Lepisosteus oculatus: one gene and its partner. The main gene of each other region encodes a partner of the protein of the gene in region 2 in a complex. Links are inferred from orthologs where the notes say so. Each region holds a gene or a part of one and is shown on either strand. Other genes may lie near its edges. The genes, in order: ncbp2 and srrt.

Evidence for each region.
Region 1: the proteins of srrt (region 2) and ncbp2 are in contact, whole or in part, in a cryo-EM structure (PDB 8PMP), measured with the Homo sapiens proteins. The link is inferred for Lepisosteus oculatus from reciprocal best matches to the Homo sapiens genes SRRT and NCBP2. Residues at the interface, in NP_056992.4 of Homo sapiens: Asp857, Arg859, Ala860, Ile861, Val862, Glu863, Tyr864, Arg865, Ala869, Asp874; in NP_031388.2 of Homo sapiens: Ser48, Phe49, Tyr50, Thr51, Thr52, Glu53, Gln55, Lys67, Met71, Leu73, Met76, Lys77, Lys78, Thr79, Ala80, Tyr89, Asp107, Glu121.

The regions. Positions count from the first base shown.
Region 1 is NC_090708.1:2,218,650-2,233,473, reverse strand, and holds ncbp2 (nuclear cap-binding protein subunit 2), read right to left. Parts: upstream 6,363-14,824; 5' UTR 6,010-6,362; coding exon 5,935-6,009; intron 5,639-5,934; coding exon 5,457-5,638; intron 4,879-5,456; coding exon 4,740-4,878; intron 4,363-4,739; coding exon 4,264-4,362; 3' UTR 3,942-4,263; downstream 1-3,941. Other genes in the region: protein NCBP2AS2-like, read left to right, coding at 6,668-6,991; meltf (melanotransferrin), read right to left, coding at 10,092-10,162, 10,523-10,712, 10,944-11,131, 11,503-11,570, 12,471-12,627, 12,827-13,021, 14,580-14,676. UniProt on the Homo sapiens protein: Component of the cap-binding complex (CBC), which binds co-transcriptionally to the 5' cap of pre-mRNAs and is involved in various processes such as pre-mRNA splicing, translation regulation, nonsense-mediated mRNA decay, RNA-mediated gene silencing (RNAi) by microRNAs (miRNAs) and mRNA export.
Region 2 is NC_090698.1:10,688,714-10,703,709, forward strand, and holds the start of srrt (serrate RNA effector molecule homolog), read right to left. Parts: upstream 7,197-14,996; 5' UTR 7,041-7,196; intron 4,726-7,040; 5' UTR 4,682-4,725; coding exon 4,563-4,681; intron 3,871-4,562; coding exon 3,742-3,870; intron 3,543-3,741; coding exon 3,393-3,542; intron 3,161-3,392; coding exon 2,972-3,160; intron 71-2,971; coding exon 1-70. Other genes in the region: uncharacterized protein, read right to left, coding at 9,050-9,090, 9,322-9,397, 11,276-11,455. UniProt on the Homo sapiens protein: Acts as a mediator between the cap-binding complex (CBC) and the primary microRNAs (miRNAs) processing machinery during cell proliferation.

The DNA of each region.
Region 1 (14,824 bases), on a different chromosome or scaffold from region 2:
CATTTGGAATTTCGTGCACTTTTAAACCAACGGCTGAAACTGTTCTCAAGGCTCTGCTGCTTTGGTCATTTTAAGAACTATAACCAAATTTCTGTTATTTTATCAGTTCTTTACTCCTTTAGAGTACGTAAGCTATATCAAGTCCTAAGAAACTTGAAAGGTTTTTTTTTTATAGGTATTATGCAAGTTTAACAGGTAGTGTAGTTTCCTTGCAGAAGAATTAACAGCGATTAACGTTCAGGTCTTGCAAACTTGATGAGGTAAATTATTGATACTGCATGTACATTGTCAGACTCTGAGAGACCACAAAACTACTCTGTGTGGACCACATTGCTTGATTGTTGGGGAAGAATGTTTCATTGTTGGCTGTTAGCTAAAACACATGCCAAACGATGTTCTTTCTGGGCAGTGTTTTCCTTTAAATAAAACCTGAGAGTGGATCAGTGAAGATTTTTCTGTGCAGTGACTTCTGTATAATGAGTAAGTGCATGGCTTTTACTGTCTCCCAACCCAGCTTTTTTTTTTTACACCTTTCGCATGTGGTCATTTAAAAGTAGAAATGGGAACACTGAAATCTCAGTTTTAGTTTGGTAATTCTCACCTCAGTTTTTTTAGCCCAGTTAAACATATTCAGAAATGATCAGATGTGTTGTTTGTATGAAAACAGTAAAATAGCTTTATCTTTCTACATATATAGAAAGAGAACATATTCATGTTAAAAAGATATATGACTAAACATCTTATAGAATGTAATTCATTAGGAAAATGTGGATTGTTTTTAACTAGAATCTATTTATTTTTGCATTACCTGCCTCTTGATGACAGAACCAAGAAAAAAATACTGATTGATGTACTGAGTAATAATCTTAAGTCTTGTCTGACCATATAACAGCGGATAAAGAAAACAAGATTGACCTGGATTCAAAAACATAGAATACCATTTAATGGTTTTACTTGTCAGACTGAAGAAGAGCTCAGTATTGCAGTCGAATTACTTCTTTAAATACTTATTTAAAGCAGTACTCCTTGCAATGTAATAATTCTACTGAACCTTAAAGGAGTACCTAGGTTTATGTTACTACTGCCTTATGATTAGTTCTGAACAAAGCTATTCAGTACAGGAGTGTTGTGCAACACATACAGGAGACGTTTCAGTCGTAGCTCTGGTGCGTTTTTAACCAGGTGTTCTGTTTGCGAGTTAGATTCTGAAGCACTGTTTACAGTTTTCATTGTGCGATTTGTACAGCTTGTAAGAAAGAAAATTATAACTTGTTGTAAAGAGTACTTGAGGTGTAACAATAAAAATGACTTTTTTAGGTCTGATTGTAGTTGCTTCTTATAGATTAATTTAGTAGTGATGTCCAGTTTACGCAGTGTTCCTTGCATTCTTAACATTTCTGCTTAAAATATTTGTTGTAGCCTAACAGAGTATTAACTTCTTTTAAATGTAAACATCTGTTCAGTGTTTAGCAACAGTTTAATTGTGGGTCTGGCACAGTTTTTGTGTATAACTCATGGGATTAAATGTATGTTTATAGTTCCAGAGCAGCAGTGACAAAATACTGATACACAATAAAAGTGCAGCAGTGTACATTGTTCGTCAAATTCTTTTTGAGCCCAAACATTTACACTTTAAATAGTGAGCAGATCCGTTAAGTGATTGATTGGCGTTGTTGCTTGGGGCTAACACAAATGCTCAACTGAAATCGTTGTTGTTCATGAAAGACAAAAAGACCAAAATGAATAAGAATCTATTAAACCAATTGATCACGGGCACAGTAAATTAGATGACCATGTCAACTTGAGCAGCTTGGAAATTCTAGATTGCTTGGTTCCTATTATCATGATTGAAGGCAGACTTCCTGCTAAATGTTACGTGGAGAATGAGGTTCTGCTTCAACAATTAGGTGAAAATGAGAAACCATCTCTGTGAGGACTAGGAGAGATTCTGGCCCAACATCTGGCATGTTGCATCTGTCTGGTCAAGTCAACCTTTATTTTACTGTGGCAGCAAAAGGCTTTCCATAGGCATGCCTGGAATTTGGTGGCAATCATACGTTCGTTATTGCCGCGTTTGTTGTCTCCAGCAGGGGGCCCTGCAAGTGTGATGAGGTGGGATTGAGTAACACAAGTGTGCGTCTTGTGCAGACTGATGACCTCATTGCTCAGTCATCCTCTGCTGGATTCTTTTCAGCCCTCAGTTTTTCTTTACCAGGGAAGCCAGTCTGGAAGCGTTGGTCTTCCAGCATGACGATGCAAGCCCACACAGTGCAAGGACTCCAAGAAAACAATGTTGTCTTGCCACGGCCAGATTTATATGCCGATTTCAGGCTCTCGTTAGTGTCTCTGTGGGAGCGGCTTGCCAGTGCTGTGACAAGGAGCCAGCTGGCTACAGCTGCAGAGGACAATGTGCAACATCCCACAGCAGTCTGGTGGGAGGCTGGAGGGGTCCATACGACAGTGCTGCTGCTCAGGAAGGTCATACCACCTTTATACTGCTTTCGTTTAAAACTGTCATGTTTCATATTGAAAACTACCGCTTTGTATTTCTGTTCACATTTTCTGTGATTTTTTTTTTGTTTGGCATTTGTTTTAAATAGTCAATTAAATCCAGTTCTAGATCTGAGTTTTCGTGTGTTCTTTTTGCACCAGTACAGTGTATTCAAACCGAAAGCCCTTTCAAAAACGTGTTGAGTCAAATCTGTTCAATGGCCGCTCCGTAAGCTGCTGCCAGCACTTGAAGGACATGATATACAGTATGAAGAAACCTTAGCAACTCAGGTTATTAGTATAAGAGGATACTTTTGTATTGCACTAACTAAAGAATGCTAAAAACTGGATTAGACATAGGAGGCACTGTAGATGAACTTGGTATCAAGGCATAACTTTCCCCCCATCCACCTAGAAAAAAGGGTCAAGGTGGGACTACATCCTGGATAGGACAATGTCATAAATGTATATCGGGCCTTTAAAAGTAGCTCCTCAAAGTGCCTTTTACGAAAAGGGAAAAATAAATTAAAGATCTAAGAAGAAAAAATGACCATAAGGGACTAGAAACAGTAGATGCAATGAGCAAATGCAGCCAGATGCCACTTAAATTAAAGCCTTGCTGAAGAAGCTTGACTTGAATGCACTCTGAATATTAATATCAATATTAATAATATCTGCACAATTGGAAATATTTAAATGCTGACTAGAGGGGGGGGCAGTATCAAGCTGGAGGAACACCAGACTTGAAGACCAAACTACAGGACTGAAACCCCCAAGAGAGAGACAAAGTGTCCATCACTGAGACACCGGTCTGGCACACAAGACAATCCAGAAATCTGCAATCTGCAATTCAACTAGTCAACATGTCGTTGGAGGGTGGAGGAAAGCTCAGAGAACATTCCGAGACATGGAGAAAATGGAAAAAAAATTGCAGAAATACAAATGACAATCAAAAGCAAAACCCACTGACAAAATAATGGTCTTCAGGTCCCTAAATTTCAGGGTATAATGACATGTTAATGTTCTGAAAGTAACATCAGGTTTTACCTAAAGACCATGACATACATGAGCAGTACTTTTAATACTTTTAGGAAAGCACTTAAGCTGAGGAAAAAACTAGAGCAATTTTAAAAATGCTTGTCCTTTAAATGAGAAAGTACATCCAGGACTTTTAACTTACATTTATCAGATTTTTGATTGTTTAGCGGTCAAGGAATGTGTGTAGGGTAAAATTAGAATCTGAATGAACTAATATCATTAATTCCAAAATTTTCCATTAACAAAGTTTTCCTTTCCAAGAAATGTGTGATGCCTTTTTTACACCAAGGGAAAGCAAATATAAAATACTTCTAAACATGCTCCTTTCATCTAATTTTTGCATTTCATTTTAAACAGTAGAGCAAATGGTGCACACATTGTTACTGAATACCAATACCAATGTTAAAAAAAGATTTTAAACACAAAATTGAAAATATTTAATGTTTCCATAAATGTTATACATAGTATACAGATCCAACAGAAACGCTCATAGTTACAAATGAAACTGGATTGGAAAAATAAGCCTTAAGGCAAAACTGGCCAAAATGGCAGATGCCTTAACCAGCTTCTCCTGCTTATTTGTGATTTTCAAAATGTACGAAAAGCATGATGTACTTCAGTCAAGTTATCTTAATTTGGTAAAACATTTAATAAAAAGGTGATAAAAGATCAACTTTATCTTTCATTACCTAAATGTACTCAAATACCACCCAATTGTAAATTCTCTACAGAAAACTAGAATTTGTGCGGGGCGTCTGGTGTTCTTTGGAGCTGAGCCAATTTTCCATATCCACCTCGAGCAGGGTCATAATCTTGCCTGTATTCATCTCTGACCTGAAAGAAAAAGAAAAAAATACCTTATTACAATTTTTTAACTGCTTTTCCATAGCCCACCCCCGGCTGGATCATAACCCTGTCTGTATTTATCTCCGTCGGAGAAAAGAAATGTGCTTCTTCACAGACAGCACTGGCCTCCCATCACACTGCGCGAGCCCCTGGTGAACCGAGCCGTGGCTGAGATCCAGCAGTTGCAACGCACTGAACAGACTTGAAGCCAAACAGCTTGAACGTGCATTAACATAAAAAAACACTGTAAAAACTTTAAGAAACACAGAATAACAGATTTGCTCATTTCTAACTTTTCTAATGGTTTTTGTTGTCGTTGCTGTTTCTAATGACAAATACAACGTTGGGCAAGCAAGCAAGCGCACCTGGCCACCTGACTTCCCACGGCCATACTGCCTGCCTTCTTTAAAGCCCGCGTCCCAGTCCGTTCTGATGATCCGGTCGTCCAGCCTGGTGCCGTTGATGTACCGCATGGCGTTCTCCGCGTCCCCACGGGTGTAGTACCTTGCATTGGGGGGGTCAAGGCGTTGCAGCAAACGAAAACGTACAAAATGTGACAAATTGCCTATCTCGGGAAGAGGGAGGGAGACAGGCCTTGGATTTCCTTGCTACGGCGGCCCAGGCACAGCGAGGTGAACCTCCTGCACCCCCCTCTCGATCCTCCCTTCTCCGTGACACTGAAAACATTACATTACATTTCTTCGCCTGGCAGACGCCTTTACCCACAGTGAATTACAACAGCATGCCGTGAAGGCGCAAAGGGTGCAGATAACAGTAACACTACAGAAGACTCCACCGTGCCATTTAACTCCTGGGATATTGCTCTCAAGTAAGAAGTCTCTGTGTTGCACGTCAGATTGTATAAAACATTAAAAATGTAAAACGTTTAAGACGCGTCACTACTCTATAAATATACAGTCAGAACATTTAAATAAATATTCCATCTAGTATATCAATTCTGTACAATAAATATACATGCACCGGATAGCTGCATTAAAAAGGAGTTACAACTCCAGAATTACCAATATCCAAAAAGCCGAAAGACAGGTCAGCAATCGCGACTGTTCTGTGCAAAAGGATACTCGACGAAGCAGAAGCCACAAGCGGTCTTCTTCACCTTGTCCAGACCCATGATGATTCTCTTCACGTCGCCGCTCTTCGAGAACAGCTCATACACCTGCTCCTCCGTCGTGTAAAAGGACAGGTTTCCCACGTAGAGGGTGTTGCTCGCCCGCAGGAGCCGTTCCTGTTCGTGGCGATTACCCTGGAGACAAAGTTCCACTTCACACTGTTTGTCGTTCCCTCCATCTCGCTACCGCAACCTTTCTTAAACTTACCTAACGAACGGTACTTTCATCTCTGCTCGATACCACGGCCGGGTAGCGTCCGAAACACAACTCTGAACACGACTGAGGTGCAAATCAAACTAACTTTTAATACACCTAATTACCAGAACCTGTTTACGCCTTGCATCTGTGTTCCTGCTTCGGCGTGTTAAATCCTGTTTTCCTAACAAAAACGCACAACGTTAAGAGTAATACTAAAGTTTTTTCACCTTACCTTGAAATGTTGGTCTCTGTACTGGCTTATATCGACGTAAGAGTCGCTGAGGAGTGCGTTTAATTGAATAGACATCGTAAAAGAACTGTAACAAAATCCACACAGAAACAAACCAACAGGGCACCCACACAAACAGCAAGACTCCCAGAACGCCGCCTTCCGGTGCGGGAGAGCCAATCAAATAAAGCTTCCGGTCCGTACAGTAAGGGCGACCGTGCGGAAACAAGGGCGGCCCGTATCGGTGACCATACAGCTCTCAATTTTCTTATATTGTTTTACTGTTTATTTGTTTTTATATTAATATAACCACAATAAGAGAGAAGACAAAATGTACGATTGTGAGAACACAGAGTTACTGTAGGCTTTCACGAGGGTTACCAGCAGCTATTTAAATGCTGCTTTTAAGTGTTTAGATTTCGATCGCACTAATAAATGCAATCATTGAATAATAATAAAGGACGTCCCTTCTTCAAGTTTATTTCATTTTCAGTTGTTTTCGTTAATCACATAAAGCATTACTCAGTAGAATCCGATACCTTATTAGCAGCTTCAACAGGGGGACGGTTGCGGTGCAAGACCGGAAATCAGAGCTTTTCAGCCGGCAGATCTTTCTGGTAGGAACATTGAAACTGCTTTCAATTTATTTGTGAGTATAACGCCGCGCAACAAATTTATTAACCGTCTTTTCCGTTGGCTCTCGTCGTCTGCAGGTCCCCGGATCCCTGGCTTGAAGATGGTTTTGAGGCGCCTGCTGTTCACCCTGTTGAACAACGCGCAAGTGATCGAGAAGCTCTCCGAGTCTCGCCCTATCCGCCGGGCGGCGCAGATCACGGCCTACGCCATCACCAAGGCGCAGATCAGCGGCAGGGACGCGGCGTCCAGGCTGCTCAAGTCGGACACCGTCCGCCAGGTGCGAGAGGAGACGGCCGGGAGGATGCCGAGGGACGTGGGCGAACTGGGAAGGAGAGTCGGGAGACTGGGGCAGATGTTCGTCAGAGAGGTCAAGGAAGGCGTGAGGGACGCCTCCCGACAGCTCAAAAACAAGGACAAACAGTGAGGGCTTGCGGAACCGTGGACTTCTGAATTGACCTGTAATTATCTCAGTAGCTGCTGAAATCCATGTCGTTTTACCACCGGGAGATGTGTCGTTTTCCACACTGTAATTAAGCGGTATTTGAATTATGGAGGCGACACTGCGGGGAAAGTAATGAAGACGACGACTTTCTGTTCAGCTCACGGGTCCAAACTCCCGTTTTGACGGCTAGGATGAAAAATATCCGAGACGTATTTTTGCGAGTCTGTGAACGTTACAAATCAACGCAATTAAAAAAAATAAATAACCCGCACCTTGTCGTAAACTGTAAACACAATGCCACAGAACGTCGAAAGAAGCAATCCCGTTATGTAAGATATGCATATTGTTCATTTTAACTTTCATTGATAAACACTGTATCGGGTCTGGTGTGTAATGTAGATGAGAAGATTAAATTGAAAAGAGTGTTTTCATGAAGTATTTGCCTTGTTTTTATGGACTGCAGCTCTTGTCAGTCAACTGTGTACGACTTTCATGGACTGGTCGCTACTGTCGGCAGAGGAAAGTGTACAAGTTTCCATCCGACATATGTTTTTTTTTTAAGGGGGTTGGTTATTTGTCGAGCCAAAGTACATAAACCACCTTCATTTTTTTAAAAATTAAATATATACCCACAGAGCCCACCAAACTCAGTGTCTGGGACTTGAAAAGGGGAATAAATAATGCGGTGTTCCTAACTTTTCTTGCTCCGTTTTATCCAAACCCATTGTAGTTCTCCTACTTCGCCACAAGATGGCCGGGAGTCTGGAAAAAAACTACCCGAGTCCTGTTTTCGGACCCCGACACCGTAGTGTTTGCTGGAAGACTGCCACTTCTCCCTAGACAGACAGGCAATACCGAGGCCGAAACAGAACCGAAGTTCTGTAAAGCGCTTTGAGAAGGTGCTATATAAAATAAAGTGTATTACTATTACTTTCCGTAGATAAGTTGCTTCAGTCCTAACCAAAGCTTTTACTATAGTAAATGCATGTATACTCTTCTCTATTCTTTATAACACATCTCATAGAAATGTTGGCTTTATTAATGTGTAGAACCTCTGTGCTTAATCTCTGCTGGCTTCATCACTTATTATATTTTTCTGGTGCAGCTTCTATTTGTTTTTGCCGTCACAACCCTTGATAACAGGAGGGAAAAGCACTGTCAGCTCCTGTACACTCGTGACTGCAGTATATTGTTAAATTTCACCTAAACATCATTTAGTGATCTTCAGGCTTCTAAGGCTACATTGGTGCACATTATTATTGTCTAGGAAGTGCAAACAGCTTTGTATCCTGTTTTATCTTATCTGTTCTGTTTTATCTGAGGTAAGCTTTCACGTTATTAGGTTCAAAGTTACATCCGCCTGGAAAAGATTTCACGACTGCACTCGGGTGAATGAGGTCTCAGTTTATTTATGAATCATAGTGTGGTTTTTAATCAAAGCTTTATGTACCTATACTTAAGCAGACGCACTGGCCTGGCAACTAAATATTAGTTACAATACAATATTTCATTGAAGAAATCAATATGACCTTTGAAGCAAGCAATAATATTCAAAGAACAGGGAGTCAGTACATATACACTGATATGGTATCTGAGCACCTTATAAAAATAAATCTTTGTTCAATAATACACAAAGAAACTCTGCAGAAAACATTTTGGAAAGAAATGCCATACTGAAAGGACAATAATGCAGCCTAGAGGGAATACTACACCTGATTATAGTACAGACTTGGTCAGTAAAAGCTCAGAATTATTATGAAGGCATTGTGCAGCAGAGAACTCGGACTTTCCATGTCTTTGATCATTCCAGAAATTAAAACACATGGGTTTTACGGTGATGCCAGCTGAAGTGATTTCCTGACAGAGAAACATGCAAAGTACTACTTTTTAAACTGGCATGATCTTCCCAAAGTTACCAGCGGTCTCAATCAAGCAGTAGGTATGGAGTAATGGATGCTGTGTCATGCTCTCATAGCTGTGAAGGTAGAGAGACAGAATTCCTATCAATCTGACCTTCAGGTATTAGTTCACTGGGAAGCTGTGATTCTGCTTTGTAGAAATAGGCAACTAAGTAAATCACATTTGAAAGCTAAGAGAGACATTTTCTGCCTCACGTCTGTGACCTCCCAAAACAATAAGCAAAGTCTTCCTCAGCTGCTCTGCTCATAGGAATTTACACTCCACATTCCAGACACCCAGGTCTAAATTAGTTTAATCTTAGTTCTGCACTGAGCAAATCACTGTTGCCATTAAGCGTGTGTTTAACAGCGTTCTTTCTGAGGTTTGGGGGGAACACACTGACACGGCAGGTACATGCAGAAAACAGCACAGGCTGTCGCCCTCCTGCCTGTGTCTGCAGAAAGAAACAAGTGTGAATTTAAGCAGCACGGCCCTGTTGCTTCGTTGCTGCTTCGTTGCTGGCTTGGCGTTAGTTTATCAAGGCGAGACAGAAAAGTGCAGGTCCCAGCACATTCCAAGACACAGAGAGCACCCCAAGAAGATAAGATTATGTAACAGGCAATGCATATGCACTGATATGGCAACTGCCTTTAGACAACAAAGGACAAAGTTTTTAAATATGACTACACATCTGTAGGATATGATATAAGTCTGCAGGAGCTTGACAAAGAGGCTCCAGATGTAACAGGCAAAGCATATGCACTGATATGGCAACTGCCTTCAGATGCTAAGGATCACAGCCAGGCAACATGCACCAGCATGGGACCTGCCTGCCTGGAGCTTCCTGTGGCACTGTGGAAGGACTGGAGAGGTAGGAGGGGGATTAATGATTGTGGACAGACCCTCTTTCCCAAAACCTGCCACCTCCTTCCCTCAGGGTGATCAACACACCTGAGGCACGAGAATCCCTGGATTTAAACATTCGAGACGATTTGGACTGGGGGTGGAGTGTCCAGCCCAGCTACAAATTGAGAGAAAAAAAAACATTTGGCACATTGAAAAATAGGACCCTAAAATCCCTGCAAATTTGCTATCTGAATCACTGAATAACGATTCTTAAAAATTGTCCAAGAATCAGTGAGACGTGGTGTTTCTTTGTCACTGTCTTCCCAGGAAAGTAGGTTTATATGTTGAAGATGATCAAGAGGAAGCCGAGTCCCACTACAAGCACCGTGGACACTGAGGAGACCGCTCCTGGCAAACAAACAGAGAGGGGTTAGAGCACATGAACAGCTCCATCTTCCAACCTGGTCATTTGCCGGGCTTCGGCCAGAGAAAAGCCTCAATTTACTACCCTTCCAGTAAAGCTTCTCTCTCATCAACTGCAGAGCTTTGATCACGGTTGTAAAAATGATTCTAATTTCATGCATTAAAAAAAGGAAATTATATTCCTGGCTAAGACATAAAAATTACAGGGCAACTGGAAACCACGCAACTCATCATCCTCTCCTGTTCTTGCTCAATCAATCGAGCTCATGAAAGAACTTCGGCCTTCGTACAGATGCAGGCCAAGGCAAGCACTGGCAGCACAGTAGGGCATCGGATCGTTCATACCTGCAGAGTTGCATTCCATCACATTCATGGCGTCCATGTAGCTCTGGCCCAGCCAGTCCGTGTAGGTCCTTTTCTCTCCGACTCCTATCAGGCGGACTGTGGAATCCTTGAAAATCAGATCCGTACCTCCAAAGGCAGAGGAATCGAACATCTTGAATCCGTTCGGATTGTTGTCATCCCCAAAGATGGCCTGCAAGTGAAAGGCTGATCGTTAACGGAACACGATCCGCACAGAGCCTTGCCGGTCAGTCCCGTCAGCAGGAGGCGGATTCACTCCGGACAGACTCAGGCGTGCAGAACTGGAGACGGGGCCTTTCCTGCACGATGACTAAAACCGCGGCTCGCCCAGCCCTGGGCGCCACGAAGCTCAGCTGGTTCACGAGGCCGGGAGGGAGGGGGGCTCCGGGCAGCCATGTCTCACCTGGGCTCTGTCGAGGAGTCCGTACACCGCGTTGGCGTCCGTGTCGGGGCGCACCATGACGGCGTGGGCAGGCACGCGAGCCAGGTTACAGCGCGCGTACTGCGAGACCTCCGCGCGAGCCCCATTGGGACACAGCAGCTGGAAGTCCCTCGACTGCAGGTTGACGGCCCAGAGATCAGTGTTGTGACCTGCCGGACAGGAGGGGCACAGGAGGCGCGTTTGCCGTGAGCCACACGCCGACTTGATGGAGACCAGGGACTCTGGTGGACGGCACTCGATCTGGAGAGCCTGTGTTTCATTTACTTCACTAGTTGTCCTACTTTCACAGAGCTGCTCTGCCTGGACCGCTGTGCACTGTGGTACCAATGTGCAGCAGTGTTGCACGCAGGTGTCTTTCTAGAAGCAGCTGCGAACCGTGGGCACGTGTCAGCGCTCATGGTTTGGGCTGGGACACGCAGGGCCCCACGGGAATGCTGGGAAAGGATTATTTAGGCATTCCTAACGACTGATGGCTTTGTTTGAGGCACGTCCATGCGTGGTCTGATTCTCCGGGACATACCGTCAGTGTTGTCGAAGACCGTGGTGTGCTTCACGAAGGCCACCTCTCCAGCGCTTTCTGATAAACACCTGCAACAGAACCAAGGAGGCACTTTGGGACGTCTATAATGGCGGCAGCATCACTGCAGGGGCCCTGGTGAGGGCAAAGCCTTCATGAAACCTGTCTGGTGAGAATGAACTCTCACACTCGCTGGCACGAAGACGGCATCGGCAGCAGCAGAGCGCACCACCGATCTCACGCTTGTCCCAGAACAATCCCACGCTCGGGTTCAGCACAGACGCTTCCACACCCTCCTGACCCATTTTAGGTTTCCTGTGACGTATTTAAAACTCATCCTTCCTTGCAAGACAGGATGAGACCTTGCACCACGACAGTTCATTCCTCAAATGACCAATACAGAGGCTGAATCAGAAGTCTCAATCCAGAGGACCTAGCCCCACTGAACATCTCCCTGTGAGACACCTGAGATGAGTGGTCAACAGCCCAAAATCAAACAGCACTGCAGCAGAGAAAGAGATCATTGGGAAAGAGTTTCCATCTTAAAAAAAGTTCAAGAAAAACATTTGTATAGGAATTAATATGTATGTGTTAACAGCAATCAATTACACAATAAATTAATGAAGAGTACATTAATTTTCCCCATGGGTCCAGACTTCTGGTACGTGCTGAGTAATAATTGTCAATTATTGGCACTGGTGTTTCCAGTGGTGATCAAAAGGTGTTGATCTTATTTAATTCATGAAAATGAACACAAAGTACACGTGAATCAGAGTGTTCATCCCAGGACTGTGCTGGCTCTTCTTTCTTGCTGAGTGTTTAATTGTACTATGGTGTTTCATTGTTGTTATACTGTATTATTGTCATGTATGTTATATGCTTATGAGCTCTTGATGGGGAAAGACAAATTCCCCTAGGGGCAATAAAGGTGAATTCATTCACTCACTTCAACGGATGCATTCGGTGCCTACCTGAAGGCGCCGCTGTATCCATAGTAACGCTCCAGGTCGCTGCGATCACATTTGTGTTGCCCGGAGACGTCCCCGACGCACAGCTGGCACAGGCTGGGAGGGTAGCCGGGCTGATTGGCTCCGGGAACACAGCTGGAACGGAAGAACTCCCCCGCAGCTGAGAGGGAGAGGGCACGCGCGTGGATTACTGTCTGTGGGTTTCCAGAACAGACTCAAACCCTGTGGCCCCGGGGGGGCCTGCTGTGTTCATGCTCTACAGTCAGGGGGTTTCCTGCCTCAGGCCTATAAATCCCACTTCCCATCGGTCAGCTCCCTGCCCCCTCCCTGCCCTCGCCGTGACGGGACAGGCCCGTTACCTTGGGCGAACTGGCAGCCCCGCGGCCGGATCATCCCTTTCTCCATGAGGACTCCGACTGGGACGTTCCAGCCCGCCGTCCTCCCGTAGCCCGTGTGGCAGCTCCTCCTGCCCTTCAGCTCGTTGAAGTTGAAGGCGTCCAGGCTGGACTTCTTGACCACTGCCACTGCGTAGTAGGAGCTGCCCTGGGTGTCGTCTGCAACCACATGGCGGAGAGAGAGAGAGAGAGAGAGAGAGAGAGAGAGAGAGAGAGAGAGAGAGAGAGAGAGAGAGAGAGAGAGAGAGAGAGAGAGAGAGAGAGAGAGGAGTGTACCGGCCATCCGTGCGATTTCACTGGGACACTGACTCGCGCTGTTCTCTCGGGATGTGCACAGCACTGTGCGAAGGACAACACCACACAACGTGCGCAGTACTTTACAAAACAGCCAGTAGTAAATAATGACAATCACAGCCGACGTCATGCAAGGGGCAGAACAGAACAAGGGCCCAACCAACCCCTGCAGAGCCCAGAGCTGTGGTGAGTCTGAGGCATCGTGCACTTAAACGGTAATGATGCACTCTGTCCGAGGGCAGAAGGTGTTCTGAAGTCTAGTGGTCTGTGCTTCACTCCTGCCTGTGCACTGGGACCTGCAGGCAGCTCGACTGCTCTTCGTCTGGGGGAAAGAGCGAAGTGGACAGACCATGCAGCACAGACTTGATGCAGAATTCAGTTTACACTGACAGGCTACAAGAGCTGACTCTTCTCAGCCTCGAGCAGGGAAAACTACGTTATCCCAGCCTGACAGGCCTTTAGGCTTGAACCCGAGACGTGAAGCGAAAAAGCAATTACAGAATAATGGGACTTTCTGGCTCTTGTCTTGGAGTGGTGTTTCTGATCCCACTTTTCCCAAATAAAGGAATACTTAATTCCAGTTTCCTTTCTTTTTGTGTTGAAATAATTGTTCCATTTAATTTTGACTCGTCTTAGTGTTTCTTCATTCATATGGTATAACAGGTACAAGAGAAATAAAGCTTTAAAGACACAAACACAGTGGCTGTGTGATTAGCAAAAGAGGCATTTTGAAGCAGAAAAAAAGACGGCTCAAAAGCATTTCTGCTGCTCCAGGAGCATTGTAATCTGGATGAGCCACAGATTATTTTCTCATGACATGGTTTCCACAATATTCTTAAACATTAAAAAAACAAACTAAAAAGAGGTACTGATGCCGATAATTATTTCTTTTTTGATCATCCAAAACAAATGATCTCAGGAGCAAAGGGCTGGTTGACTGTACAGTTAATGGCGGCCGTGGGCGACCTGTTGAAGTGAACTTGAATGGAGAAGCACGAATTTCCGTCCCCATAACGACTTTTATTTTTGAAACCAAATTAACCTGACCTGAGGGCATGTGGCCAGCGTGAGTCAGGATCTAACTTTAGCTTGTTTGGATCTTCACTCATACTGCAATACTGGAAAATTCCTGTGCACTCAGGAGAAGAGGGAGTGACGGGGGTCTGCAGCCATGAACAAGAACCATCAAATTAGAAATCTGAAGTCTAACAAACAGCCTGCCCATCCTACCCTACGCCTCCATGACAAAGTGCATCCCCAAAATATTTTTTTTTTACAGAAAATATGGAATAAAAAATCAGTTTAACTTAAGCAGGGCTTTTCAACTAGAACTGCAAGGGCCTGTTCAGCCACTGAGAGACAGAAGGCTAGTGCTGCAGTGAAACGTTCTCTGAGGACAGCGGGGTCTCCACACAGGTCTCACCGGTGTAGCTCTCTCCCACAGCCGGTACCAGCCCATGGTCTTTGCCGGCTTTGTAAATAAAGCCGCCGTCCAGGGTGATTGCGTCAGCATCATTGTTCTGTAAGAGAAGATCGGCGTGTCAGCATGCAAGATTCCCAGGGTCCAGCGCTGAGGGGGTCAGCACCTGACGTGGAAAACAGTACCATTCTTCTCTCCACTACCAGACAACAACCAGCACGCCTTCCTCTCGCAGACCACCAAACCAA
Region 2 (14,996 bases):
GTTCTGCAGGGCGCTGTGGGCCTCCGCCTTCCTGCGGCCGACCTCGTCGGGGTGGTACTTGGACCGGAACCTGAAAACCCATAAGAACCCGAGCAGGCCGGGCCGAGCCGGGTCAGGGGCGGGAGTAGGGAGAAGGAAAGGGAGAGACGCCTTGTGAGAAATCGCGGGATTGGTGCAGGAATAAATCATTACTCCTCTACAGAGGCCAGGTGCTGGAGTTAGTCAGTTTAAGCTGCAAATTTTATACAGAGCGACTCTGGGAGACCAATGGGGGGCTGGACGAGCAACGGTATCCTTAGCAAAGGAGGTTCAGGGTCTTGCTTTGGGAGGACAGGAGGGATCCGTTTAAAAATCAGATCCACCCCCGAACCTGCCTGATCTCTGCACTGACAAACAGAGGCCTGGTGCTCCAGGGTCCTACCTGCACCACCACACCCCCCCCCAGGCAAGATCCAAACCTCCTCGTGTCCCGTCTGTTGGACCGGCCCACGATCTGGCCGGCAGTACCACAGCTCTGCCCGCCCCCCTGGTCTCCCAAGACCCGGTCTGGATTAGAGACACTGCTACGCTGGAATTATGTGTGGGAGGATTCAGCTGCTGGACAAGTCTGACAAACTGCGCACCTGTGTTCCCCACCACCCATGGCTTAAGCTCACAGAGTACAGGCCACTAGAGGAATGGCTTGAAAAAGTAAAAAAGAAACAAAATCCCCAACAACACTGAGCGCTGGTACTCACACGCACGCTCTCTCTCACTCTCTCGAACACAGGCTCTCCGTCTCAGGGACCCAGGCATGCATTATTCCTAATTCCTCCTGATTACAGTCCGAGTTTCTGCGGAAGGACAGAGTCGGGGCTTCCCAGTAATATCTGGACTTCAGAGGGGGGTGCTCTCTGGAGCCTGGGGCGGGACGCGTGCTGGCAGAGGACGGGTCTGCTTGCGCTTCTCGACATGCGGACAGACGGGAGAGCTCACTGGTGCGGGCAAGGGGCGATACACGCACTCGCACAAACAACAGGGCCGCAAGAAACGAAAACGGAACTTGCCGTTCGGGGAGGCAAATGAGCACCGCCGCCGAAACAGACTCCCACTGCCAAGCGGTCAGATCCACTCCGGGTTTTACCGGTCGCAGAAAGGCTCCTTTAAGCCCCTGCTCTGCCACTTCAGTGGGACAAGTTTGGACGCAAGGCTCCTGCGCCTGGTAAAACCCGGAGCAGACCGGAGTGCTACGGAACGGGACTGCGATGGGCGCTTCTGGGTCAGCGGCGTCTCCCGTGTCTCAGCCTCTCGGTCTCGGCCCCCGAGGACAGATCTACAATATACTGGGAAGCCCTGATCTCGCCCCACCTCATCGCTTCAAAAAAAAATTGCCCAACAATTAAAGCAATATTGAGGAAGACAAAAAAAAAACTAGTAACTGAAAGAAACAGTATAAGAATACAAAGAACAAGAGATGTGCCACGTTCTCGCCCAATTTACCTTTGTGTTTACAACACACATTTACTGAGAGAGGGGCGCTTCTGCCCCTCGGCGCCGATCACACTTTCCAAGGCTCGCCCAATTTTGTGAGTTGTGGGAGAGATAGGGTCTGTTTGTTTTTTTGTTTTTTTTTTGATGGGGAAGGGAGGAGGGCACCTTTGGTTCTGTGGTCTGGGTTTGGTTTTGGAAAGAAACGCGGCGAACGGCCCTGTCTGACTAAAAGCCCTGGCACTGTGGTTTCTAGAGCGCTGCATTGTGCGCAGCGACAGCCCTGTCTGCCTGAACGCCCGGCTCCCTCGAGGACTCCTGCAGATCTGACTGTGTGTTTGGCATCTTCCACAGCCTTGATTGTGGAGGAGGAGGAGGAGGAGGAGGATGAAGGAAAGGAAGGAGGGAGGGAGGGGAGGGGAGGGGGAGAAGGGAGGTTGCAGTCAATTTGAACAAAAGAAAAAATGAAAATTAAAAAGAATTATATACAGTCACAATCCTGGACACTGACACAGTGATCACCTCGTTTATTTTGTTAAGACAGCTGCAGGTACGAAGTACTGGCCCTCCCCCTGGCCTGACACAGGCATGGTTACTCCCTGGTCGAATGATGCGGGTGATGTCTTGTTGCTGGAACCTTCGGCGGCTGCTGGTACGAGGTTCAATTTGACTCGTTAAGACTCTGCGGGGGGGAGGGGCGGGGGGAGGGGACTGCGGCCTGCAGCTGTTCAAACACAGTGGTATCTCTCCAGCATCCCGACCCTAAACTCAACTTTACCCTCTACCTCAGATCCTATCCTAACCCCCCTAATTCTCCAGCCCTAACCCCTAGCGTGACCCCAAACGCGTGTGTGGGTGCGGTGCAAGAAAACACGCCTCGCTGGCCACGTGAGGCCCAGGCTTCAGTCGGCACGCTAACTCCTGACAGGTGCTGCTGGCACGTCCCCATAGTGGAAGTGACTAGCCCACCGTCAACAACATACCGGCACTCCAGATTTAGTACAGAGTGCTTGCCTCTCAGTAGGAACAGTATGAGAATCCATGGGAATTTCCCACAAATACAGAAACGAACACGTGTGAGTGCGTCAGCTCACTACCCAGCCTCCTCTCCAGCTCTCCCTGCCCCTCCACGCGGCTCTCTCGGGGTGCGGTGTGATGTCTGCTGTTCCCTCCCTCCGTTCCTCTCGGCGTGCAGTGCACTAAATGCTGTTCCCTCTCTCTGCCTCTTCTGGTGTGTGATGTGATGCCCATCAATCCCTCCCTGCCTTTCTTGCGGTGCCCTATCCGGTGTTCCCTTTCTATGCGGCTCTCAACGTGCGCTGTCTGCTGTTCACTCCCTCTGCCCGTCTCGGAGCGCAGCGCGCCGACTACCGTTTCCTCCCCCTGCCTTTCTCGGCCTGCTGTGCGCTGCCTGCCCGTCCCTCCCTCTGCCCGTCTTGGCCCCCAGCTCGCCGACTGCCGTTCCCTGCCTCTGCCTCTCTCGGCGTGAGGTGCGCTGCCTTACCACTCTTCGTCCTTGTGCGCCAGGAAGAAGTCCTGCATCTGCTGCCGGCGGAAGTCCAGCTTGTAGTCGTTATAGCGCTTGACCGCCTCGGTCTCGTCCACGGAGTCGTCCAGGGACAGCAGGAACTCCTTGAAGCTCTTCATGACGGGCGCCGGGGGGCCCAGCTCCAGGTCGTGCACGTTGCCCAGCCTGCCGGATGACGGGGATCGGTGGGGAGAAACAGGACACGCAAGGGCAGGATAAAAAAGAAGCACGGGATGAGTTACTGGGGATCCCCTCAGCGGCCCCCTCTTCCTGCAGCAGCTGCAGTGGGGTTCAGGGGTGCAACGAGCAGTAACTGCTGCCTAGAGCTGCACCCGCAAGTCGCCAGCAGGCCTTCCTGCCCCACCCCACCCCCAGCGCAGGAGCCCGCCCCCCTCACCTGGCCTGGATGGGAATGCCATGATGCGGCTGCATGAGGTGGATATCGGGGTGTCCCCAGGGCTGGGGGGGGGCGTAGCTGGGGCCCCCGCCGCCCCCATACGGCAGGTCATACCCTCCACCGTGATACGGGTCTCCGCCGTGGTCGTCCCTGAAAGAGACAGAGGCAGCGCTGAGCAGAGCGTTGGGCACCACTGCACACGACACGAACGGAGAGAGACAGAGAGACAGAGAGACAGAGAGACAGAGAGACAGAGAGACAGAGAGACAGAGAGACAGAGAGACAGAGAGACAGAGAGACAGAGAGACAGAGAGACAGACCAGGGTCACGTGGCAGGAAACGGCCTCACCAGTCCCTCCTCATGCGTTTCTGCTGTGGGCTCAGGTCGTGCCGCGGCGGGGAGAACCTCTCCCGGCGCCCCCGGTCGTAATCGCGGTACTCCCCACGACTCCGCCGCTCCCTGCCCCGGTCCCACTCCCTGCGAGGAGAGAGAGAGAGGAGCACGTGAGCTCGCCCTGGCGCACACTCGGGACAGCCTCGGGCCCCCTGGAGTCCGGAGAGGCCCCAGGCTCGCCCAGTTCAAGACTCAGGGCTGCGCTGTGTACCCCCACCTCCCCCAAAACACAACGTTAAACACTCTGCTTGCTCTTCACACACCTCCTGACCCATCCGACAGAGCAACAGCTTCAAGAAGACGCCTGGGCTGCCTGTTCCAGCCTCCTACTGCCCTTTGTGCAAAGCAGTCTTCTCAATTGTGCTCTCACTTGTTTCTATTCAAGGCAGCCTTGGGATCCGTGAAGAATCGGCAATAGCAAACACTGACACAGAACAAAGGCTGCAGAGGACAGGAGGTTTTTTTAACACACCAAGTCAGGATCACCAACAAAGCACAGCCCAGAGGACACGGGTGAAAACCAAGAAGTGTACTGAGCATTAGTAACAGGAGGCTCTTTACACAAAGTGGTGGGTGCCTGTAACAAGCTGCCCAGGCATATTTGTAGCAGCAGATTCCCTGGGATCAATGACTGGTAAGCAGAGGAAAGTGGAGATGATCTAACTGTTCGATCGATCCACAGTTATCTTCCAGAATCCAGGTGTCTCAGGCTTCCCGGAGACCACGACCTTTGTGGCTGGCAGCGCACCCCTCCCCCCCGCCCCGTGACCCCTGACCTGTCGTTCCAGTCGTCCCGGCGCCGGTCCTCCCTCTCCCGGGACCGGTCGTAGTCACTCCGCTCACGCCGGAACTTGTCGCGCCGCCGGCGGTCGTATTCGTCATCGCTGTCAGCCATCGTCCTGCCCGGCCCGATCTGCACAGCGCACACGGACGACGCGCCTGGGAGACGAAACAGTGGCGGGATGAGGCAAGGGGCAGTCAAGACGTCACCAAGTGCACAACAGCTGCCAAAACACACGAATGCGAACAAAGGGCCTTGCGCGTCGACAGTGGTCGCAGCAGGGCTAGGGGGCGGGGCTCGTGGGGAGACCCCCTGCAGCTGGTGACCAAAAAGATCTATAACAGGTATGAACCAGGCAAGTCATACTTCAATAGCAAAACTCTTAAGGGGACTTAATTTAACAAATCACTTGCTTAACTGGCCACACGCAAATAATAATAACAACAACAACAACAACAACATCACTTTATTAACTCTATGAATCATCACTCATGAATTGGCTACATCAACATCACTCTATGAATTGGCTTCATTACTCTGCTCTCCTCCCCACTGATAGCTGATGTGTGGTGAGCGTTCTGGCGCACTATGGCTGCCGTCGCATCATCCAGGTGGGGCTGCACATTGGTGGTGCTGGAGGGGAGTCCCCATTACCTGTAAAGCGCTTTGAGTGGAGTGTCCAGAAAAGCGCTATATAAGTGTAAGCAATTATTATTATAATTATTATTATTAACCCTTAACAATTTCTTGTATTAGGAATTTGTTTTATTGCATACCCGAGCTTGCTCTCCATGAGACACAGACAGGGAGAGCTTGGGGTCAGAGCGCAGGGTCAGCCATTGTACAGTGCCCCTGGAACAGATGGGGTTAAGGGCCTTGCTCAGGGGCCCAACAGAGAAGGATTCCACTGCCGGCTGTGGGATTTGAACCGGCAACCTTCCAGCCACAGGCACAGATCCTGAGCCACAGAGCCACCGCTCCGCCCCAAGTCACTAGAAACTGGCAATGGTGTACCCACAAACATGCTGGACTGGGGTTCCCCAGAAACAGGGCCGGAGACCCCCCGGTTCAGAATACAGTACAGTCACAGTCTCGGAGCCCAGGCCGCAGGGTAACTCCAGCAGCCCAAAACACTGCTCTCTCAGCGCCATCTTCTGGTCCAAGTCACTCAAATAAAACTACTTGGACTGTTTTCCAGGACACATCAGCAAGCCGCTTGATCGCAGTTTGGGCTCTCTCCCAAACGCGCAGCTCCCGGCTAACTCACAGTGAAGTTTCACATCTCTGCCAAAAACAGAGGAGATCCAGCCAGAACCTGCCCACCCACAGCCTCTCTTAAGGTCATGAGACTCTGGCCTCTTAAAACAACCGTCTCCAGGGGTTTAACTTCCACTCTGTGAGCGCTCTGCGCCCTGTACCTCTTCCCCACGGCCCGCTTCAGCTACGCGAGCCTCTCGGTTTTAAAGTGCACCGTGCTGGCCACAAACAGGTGAAGACCAATCGCTCATAACCCGCACTGAGTAGTCATGCTCGAAACGACTCCCTCTCTCGGAAAGAGAAATTCACAACAGGCAAACGAAACTACCCCAACCCCACCGAGGAAGCGAATTCGGGACTGCGGACAAGCGGCGCTGCTTTACACAAAGAGTGGTGGGGGTCCGGAACAAGCTGTCCCCGCCCTCTTTCAAGAAACAGCAAAGACAGGATGAATGTGTTCCCTCTCCTCCCCCATCTCCCACACCTGTAAACTTCCTGCGGTACCGTCAACTTTCACATAAGAAATATGGCGGTCCTGAAAACTTCAGTGTCCCCCCTGCGAAGCGAATGAGCCCCCCACTAACCTTCCAGTGTTGCACAGAAACCAGAGGAAAAAAAACCCAGGCCGGTACCGGGGGGCAGAGCCCGGTAGGTTCGGCGACCGCGGGCTCTGTCAGTAAACGCCGAAGCCCCACGTCATTCATTCATTCAATCGCACCGCTGCCCCACAAAAGACGGCCGCAGGGATCACTCGCGCCGAGACACTTTCCCGATCAACTTCCTCTTAACCGCGAACAACACTGCGTGCACCGTGAAACACCGTCCGTATCGAGCTGCTTTCGGCGCCCACGAGTACAATGCCGCGGCCTCTTCCGTCTCGCAGCCCGGGCGGCTGCAGCAGGAACACACACGGCCCAGAGGGCTCTCTGCACCCGCTGCGCCTTCTCACGGGAGCCGTTCCCTCCAGGTCATTCAGAAACTGGAAGTGTCCAAGCTGCGTTTCGCCCTCTTTTCCCGGACAAACTGCACAGAAGCCGCCTTCACCCGCGGAATCTTACACTGGTTTCCACCGCCTCCGCTTCCAGAGCCACCGCCGCCTCCGAGCTCATCTACCCCTGCAGAGTCAACATCCCAGACCGCGGCTTCACCGGTAGATCCCAAGGCCTTAACTTACCCCCCAATAAAACAAAACATGACTTATTTTTCGATAACTTACCCGCTCGGCTTAAGTCCCGGGAAAACCTTCGTACCTCCAGAGAAAGGCGATAATTTCTTAATTAATTAAATTCCCACCGCGTCGCAATCCTTCCTCCCACTCCTCCAGCGGGCCTACAGCGCGAGAGAAGACCCGGATGTGGCCTCTAGCGAAGTCTTGGTCCCCTCCCCTTCGCCCGCACCATCAGCCCACAGCGCCCCCTAGCGCCCGGAGGTCTGCATGGCCTTTACGGCTGAAAAAAGGTGCAATATTAAATCACACGCTTAGAAGTCCCGACAAGCCTCAGCACCAGTGTTTGATATGCTTGAAGCTACTACAATTAAAATTGAACAGAAAATGATTTTATACATGTTTCAAGGATAATCAGATGCATTCACAGAATAATGATTCAGCTACAGTGACTCAGGACTTCAATGAAAAAAAAAACGGCATGACAGTCATAAAAAATATTTTCCATTCATGCAAAGGAAAACTTTGCAGAGTGTGTGCTTTGAATCTGGCCAGAATTCTATTTTTCAGCAGCGCACAATTCCCCCCTGAGTCTTTGGGAAACGAGACCTTGCCAGTGTCCCCTAGGCTCTCCAGTCTGTCATCTGTAGACATCAGCCCAGATTCAGGGACAGGTCCCCCAATTGGAAATTGCCCATTTTAAGACCACCAACAAATATTGCAGTCTCTCAGGAGAAAATGAGATACATGGGCCTATTCATTCAGTACAACCCACCCTGTCAGATCACTCACCCTGGGGCTCTGCACAGAGCCTGACGGGAGAGCAAGGGCTGAATAGTCCAGTTTGGCAGTAGGATCAGCTGATTTTTTAAATACAAAAAAACACAGCACAGACGTTTTTTGAGAAAATATTTTAATTTGTATAAAACCATTGCATAGCATCTGTAGAAGAGTAGGCAGTGGTCTAGGTGGAGTGGGTGTAGTAGGAGGGTGGTTTCACAGCAGGGAAGGGACATGGGGATTTCAGGAGGACAGTGGATTTATTTACAGTGATAGAAAAGGCAAATTGAACTGAAGAGCCCCCTCAAAAAAACAGGGAGATAATGAAATATAAAAGTGAGCAGGTGAGTAAGAAAGGAAGTTAAAAATCAAATGAAGGGTGCTCAGGGTCAGCTGCTCTTATAGCACAGCGAAGACTGGGGTGAACATAAGAAACACACTGCCATGGACAGACAGCGGACATCAGGGGGCGCTTCATCACCAGTATACACAAGGGACTCTCGGAGTCAGTTGTCCCGTGTGGGGAGGACTGGGCACTGTGGAGAGACTGGGTCCACACTCAGACAGGGCCATAGGGAGCTGACTGACATGAACAGACAGTGTGGACACTGAACAGTTTCCTACAGTTGTACTGTACACACCGTATCCACTGCCTGCTGGTCACTCGGACCTGAAGCAGCGCCCCCTGGTGGACTCCATCAGTCCCCATGGCCCCACTCTTGACTATACAGCTGGCTCTAGAGCAGGACCTCCCAGTCCAGCGCTGTCTGACACCTGGGTCTAGCAGGTCCGTCTGAGATCTTACTCCAGTCCCAGATGTAACAATGTATTTGCCCTTTGTTTGTTTTTGAATTGTTGTCAGTTCAGGAACAGTGAAAAGAGATTTTTATTTTTCAATAACAGCGAGAATGTGGAGAGTGGGAAGAAATGACAAAGATCTAGTTGATCAGATCAGTAGTGAAGGGATCACATTAAGCTACCAGGAGTAAAGGTGAAAAACACCAGTGGGATATGGGGTACCCAGAAGTGGGATTGAGAAGCCCTACTTGGTAAGATCCAGGATGTGAAATGAGGCTCAGAACAAACAGAATTTGAAACCCCCAGATCGAACCTGAGCCTTGGGGCAGTTTCCTACTCACAGGGGTGCCTTCTGAGAGGGTCAGACTTTAATGGAGGAAGAGGAGGGGAGCAGGACAGTGAGGGATGGGGTGGGCAGGGAGCTTCTGGCAGGTGCTCATTCCCAGAGACAGCTCCTCCTGCAGCGCAGCGCGGCTCGGCTCTCATGCACCCTGACGAATACTCTGGATGATCTGGAAGATGGCTGAGGATAGAACGAGAGGAGGGTCAGAATGAGGAGGGTCAGAGAGCGTCAGAGAGAGAGAGGACAGCAAGTCGGAGAGCATTTAAGAGAAAGGGTGGCAGGTCAGAGAATGAAAGAGAGGATGGTGGGTCAGAGAGAGAGGAGAGCAGGTCAGAGAGCATCAGAGAGCGAGGGGGGGAGGGAGGGCCAGAGGTTTTAGGATGAGAGAGCACGTTGGCATCAGAGACCTACCAGAGCCGCACACGACGAAGACGAACAGCGCCAGAAGCCAAGGGCCCACCGGAGAGTGGTCCTCATTGACTGTGCGCTGGAACACAGGGAGAGGAGAACAGCATGTCACAGCTGGACTGCAGTATCACCTTATACAGCACGTCACAGATGATATCAACTAAAGGGGCCCAGAGAGCCCTAGTCCAGTCAGTACAGGGTCTCCAGCACGGGTCCAGCCAGTACAGGGGACATGGGTCTCTAGTCCCACTCGAGTCAGTACGGGGCTCTCCAGCACTGCGTGCAGCGGTATCAATGTATAGCGGCGAGTTTCTGTGTCAGCATCCGTGTGTATCGATGAGTGGTGTCGGTATCGGTGTGTAGCGGGGAGTGTACCGTGGTTTTCTGGACGTGTCCCCGCTGGGTGATGGTCTTGCTATGCTTCTCGTTAGCGACTTTCATCCGCTGCACCGCCGACATACTGAAGCAATACTCAGCAATACCCGCCAGGAAATAAACACGACGGAATAAATATTTTTTAAAAAAGATTCTGAGTTTAAAACCGAAACCCGGTGACACTGACTAACGATGTTAAGTAATATTTCGTAAAAGCGTACGATTTCAACCACTCCGAACAGCCCCACACCGAACAGCTGCAACTATGCCAACGGAAAAGGAAGGCGAAGCGAAGGCACACGTGACCAGGGTTCGGGCCCCACACCTATCACGTGACGAGGGTCTGTCGCTCGTATTTTTTTAATCACCTATAATACCTCACGTCCTCACGTCCAGGCGACGATTCTAAAGTCTTCTTTCCAAACTCTGTACACGACGTCTTAAGCGACATTTCTTTACGTAAGACTAATTCCTGGACTTGCCAATTTGTCCGTGTGTAAAAAAAAAAGAGATACAACGTTTCCTTATTCCGCGTCCGCCTGTTCCAGACACCCACAACTCTTTGTGTAGAGAGGTGTTTTCTGTTCTCTGTTTTCGTGTTTCCCCTTACTTACCAGTTGCGGCTCGGGTTCTTGTTTCGCTCCTGAGAGTGAAATGATGCCCTGGTTTTACATCGGAAGCCAGACAGCGGAGGTAAAAGATGTTGCCAACGGGCACCATTTGGAAATAAAAACTCAAGTTACCAGTTTTCATAATCAGAGCCAATACTTTATTCATGTAGCTCAGTGCTACTGCGCACGCTGCAATGGACGTCTTGGGAAACGACGCCTTATGCGCTTTATACCTTCTTGTTTCTCTTTTTGGAATACTATGTTTTGGAATATAAAGTGGAAATTAATTTGGACAATTGCTGATAGATACTGTCTTACAAACAAAGTTAAATATAATTTAAGATCGTTCATAGACTTTATTCTGTTAGATTGACACGAACAAGATGACTAATGTGTATTTTGTAATAATGAGAAGGAAATTTTGTTAATTGTTTTGTGAATTGCGTATATACAAATTTGTTTTGGCTAGATTAGCAATATGTTATTGTTAAACTAAATGTTAAATATTGTTAATGTCTAAATGTTACATTTAGAGATTTAGAAATTATTTTATATTTTGTTAGACCTGATTTGGATAAAATATATGTTTTTATTATTAATCTGTGAATCCACAAACGTAAGTGGTCTAATACTGCTCCCTCTATTAATGATTTTAAGGTAGAATTTCTTTTTTGCTTAAATTCTATCAGAAATTTGAAGAATCAAAAAGGCAATACATACAGTGGAAATATGTACAAAGCTTAATTTTCAGCTTTTATAATTGTGAATTCTTATAGCTGTGAAGTGGGTTTATTTCTGTATCGGTTTTAATATTTTTCTTCTGTTGATGAATTTCTGATGTTTAAATAAAAACGTACATCCTCTCGACGCGTCATGACCGGCGGTAACAGCACAGCGCGTCTGAGTCAGGGCGCCCCCTGCCGGCCGGCCGTGGTCAGCGCAGGCCTGCTCTTGCTGAAGCGGGGGCCTACCTCATCTCCGTGCTCCTCCAGCACGGTCACCCGCAGTTCAGCCATCAGCCGCTCGCAGGCCTCCTCGACACCGCCGTCGGCCGGCGGCTCCGGGCCCCCCGGCCTCCGGGCCCGCAGGATCCGCTCGGTGTTGCTGGGAAGCGTCTTCCCGAGAGAGCGCTGCCCTCCCTCGGTCGACATCCGGGCGAAAACCACAACAACATCAATAATAACAGCAAGCGGTATTCTGTCGGTTGGTTAGTCTGCGGAATTCTAGAACGTTTTTCAAAAAATTGAAAAAACTGCCAATCGCTGCTTATGTTATTCCCATACTGCTATATCGATCCATCTTCTAACCCCTTTATTTAATAGGTTAATAACCACTAATCTATACATTATTTTCTCGTCTTATTCGCGTTTTCTATGACTCTGTCTTGTCTGTAACTGAATTTTAATGTCCTAATGTTCAAGGCAGGTTGGGCCCATAAGGCAGTTTTTAATTGGACTTCCTACAACTAAATAACGTGGGGATAAACACACCTTTCTGATGTCATGCGTAGAGATCTGTTCCAGAAACCCCTGAGCCTGTAGTATAAGTGTGATATTGAGTACTGCTCTACCGGGCAGCGGATCGTCATGTGACCCACACGGCTACGTCACACGCACAGCGACGCGTTTCATTCAGCGCTTTCCACTTACAGTACACTTGGTACAGTCACAGAAATACGGTGCAAGCAATGTTTCAGTTCTATAGCGCAGCTTTATTGAGGGAGGCCAGTCCAGCGGCCAGCAGGGGGCAGTGCAGCTGAGCTGGCAGCTCCTGCCAGACGTGCTCCAGCTGTTTCAATGGTGCTTCCTGGTCCTCCTCCTCCTCCTCTGGCGCTTCACACTGGACCTCCTGACTCGCCTCCTCCTGCGCACTGGACGGGACGCTCGTCTTCGCCTCTTGGCCATGTCTGCGGTCTGTCCGAGAGGCGGCGCTGTGCCCTTTTTAAAGTTTTAGAGGGGTGTGACGTGTAACGTAATCTCTTACGTCACTAACCATCGTTATGACTAGTATATGCTAGTATTTACTTCACCTCATGTAATGAATGGGAGATTGTCGCCGCCCTTCGTTGTGATGGTCAGGTTGCAGGGCTGCAGTGTTCAGGGCAGGAGCGCTCCAGGGATCTGGGCTCTCCTCTCCCCCTCTCTCGGACACAGCAGCACCCCCCGGGCCGGTCCACACGCGTTCACGCCTCCTACTGCTCTTGTTACACCGGCAAAGCATGGTCGCGGGAGCTAGATCCAGTATCTGTCCGATACTGGCCACAGAAATCGGGTTCTCCAGTGGCTGTGACTACAGTCGCGGAGCATGCCCGCACGACGAGGAGACCGACAGCAGCAGGTGTGTGTGCGAACAGAGATCACCACACCGCCCTCCCCCCCCGGCGAGAGAGCGATAGCCCAGGGAGCTGGGAATGAAAGCACGACGCGTCCAGCTACCGCTTGAGGGTGTGAGTCAAGAGACTTTTTATCGGGGTTTAAGACCGGAGCGTCGTGTCCACATGAACGGAGATCTCAGTTATGGCGAGAGCCACAGCGCCCTCTGGCGGAGAGTCCCCCGCAGAGCAGAGCCGCGCTAGGCGGTGGTGACGGGGCGCCGCCTCTTGCCGAGTCCCCACAGAGCGGCCGCAGTCCGGACTCGGGGTTTCGGGCTCAGCCTTCTCCTCTTCCGTCCGGACCTGGGCTTAATAAAGCTCTTCGCCTCCATCTCTCTGAGCAGGCGCTGTCTGGGCCTTGCATGCCGCCTGGCGTGCCTCCTGCCGGTGCGCATCCTCAGCTGTTAATTAACTGCTGAGTGATCCCGTGTGCGGCTAACTGCACTGACACCTCCCCCGTTCCCGGTGATTACGTAATCTGTCGTCATCGACTACAACTGCGACGCACAGTAGCGCGACTATTGTGACGTAACGCGATTGTTGCACCAGCAGTCTCGTTGGTGTAGCGGCAGGCTTTATCACTCATTAAATTCTACTCGTCGGAATCGACAATTGCAATTTCCTGCAGGAATCTTACGGTTAATCTCTCTAAGTTCTGAAGCCAATGTCTTAAACTTTGCGTCTTCACCCTACAGAGAGCTACAGACCTCGGCGCCAAGACGATGTAGTGTTCAAAGGAGAAGACTTCATTGAAATACAAATGTTGTTTAATCATATTTATTAAAGAACAGATTTATTTAGACCACACGGTGCTACGCACACAGCTACATAAGCCCGTATTCCTCTAAATATTTATGTTTCACAAAGTTAACAGCTTCCTGTGTATACAAAGATAACTGTCGGGCATGTTTATCTTGACATATTCCAGACATCTCGGAGTGCAGAGCTCTAGATGATTAGTTCCAGCTTTTGCAGTAGCCTTAGTTCTCCGACAGTCGCAGGGAGCAGATGTCTGAAGCCCGTGTCCAGGAAATATCACAAAGGAATGAGAGCGGACATCTGCATTCGTTCTTCTACAAAACCACGCGGTTCCCGAGGGCATTGGAGATAGATTGATCTTGTCTGGGTGTGACAAACCTCACCGCCTTCTGTTTTCGCTGTCAACTGTATCCCGTCGTGTAATCAAATAATATTTTCGCTAAACTTATTACACATTACACTGCTCAATGAGATCATTAACACGATCTTTCAGTCTGGTTGTTAACGAAGGACAATACTCACGCTGGGCGTCCACGGTAGATGACATTTCTGGGCCATGTTTGTCCCTCACGTCCAGCACGAGGGCCTCCTGGGGCCCACGGCTCTCTGCACTCCTCCCCGGCAGGAACTTCTGTTGTTCTGTCCGTCTTCTTGGTTGTTTTTGAAATAAATGTTTCACTGAAAGCAGGCCGGATCTGGGACGTGCTCTGACTCCTGGTAACGTCCCCCTGGTTCGAGTCCCTGACAACCGGTCAACTGGTCAAGCGTTCGGCCGCAGGGTTTGGCTGACCACTCAGGGGGTCCTCCTCCTCCTGCGCACTGGACGGGATGCTCATCTTCGCCCGGTCTGCCTCCGGTGAAGGGGGCACCCTCGGCATCACCTATGACATCACCCAGTGATGTCACAGTGACATCGTCGCCAGTGTGTTTCCATCTACAGCTGAATATAAGATCATTTCTAGATTTATTTAGCGCACAGGAGGGAATCACCTTTGCTCTGTTTACAACAGCACTGGCCCACAAAATCAAATCCACAGCCGTTCGGTTTGACTTACTATGTACATATCGCCAGGCTACATCCTATGTTACCGCTAACTGCTGCTGAAAAGCTGATCAACACAATTGTCTTCTCCCGAATTGACTACTGTAATGCTCTACTCGCTGGGGTTTCTAAATCCACACTGACCAACCTCCAGTATGTCTAAATCTCAGCAGTCAGAACCCTGACCAGGTGTAGTGGAAGTGATCACATTACTCCTGTCCTGGAGTCCCTGCACTGGCTTCCTGTCAGGTTATGTGTAGACTTCAAAATCCTCCTGCTCACCTATAAGGCTCTGCATGGCTGGGCACCTCAGTACCTGTCTGAACTATTTTTGCTCTACTCCCCACCTCACAATCTTCGCTCCTCTAATTCTGGTCTCCTTACTGTCCCCCAAGCCCGTCTACACACTACAGGTGACAGGGCCTTGTCCTGTTATGCCCCCAAAACTCTTGAACTCTCTGCCCAAGGATATCAGAGAGTCACCTTCTCTAAACTGCTTCAAATCCAGACTCAAAACCTT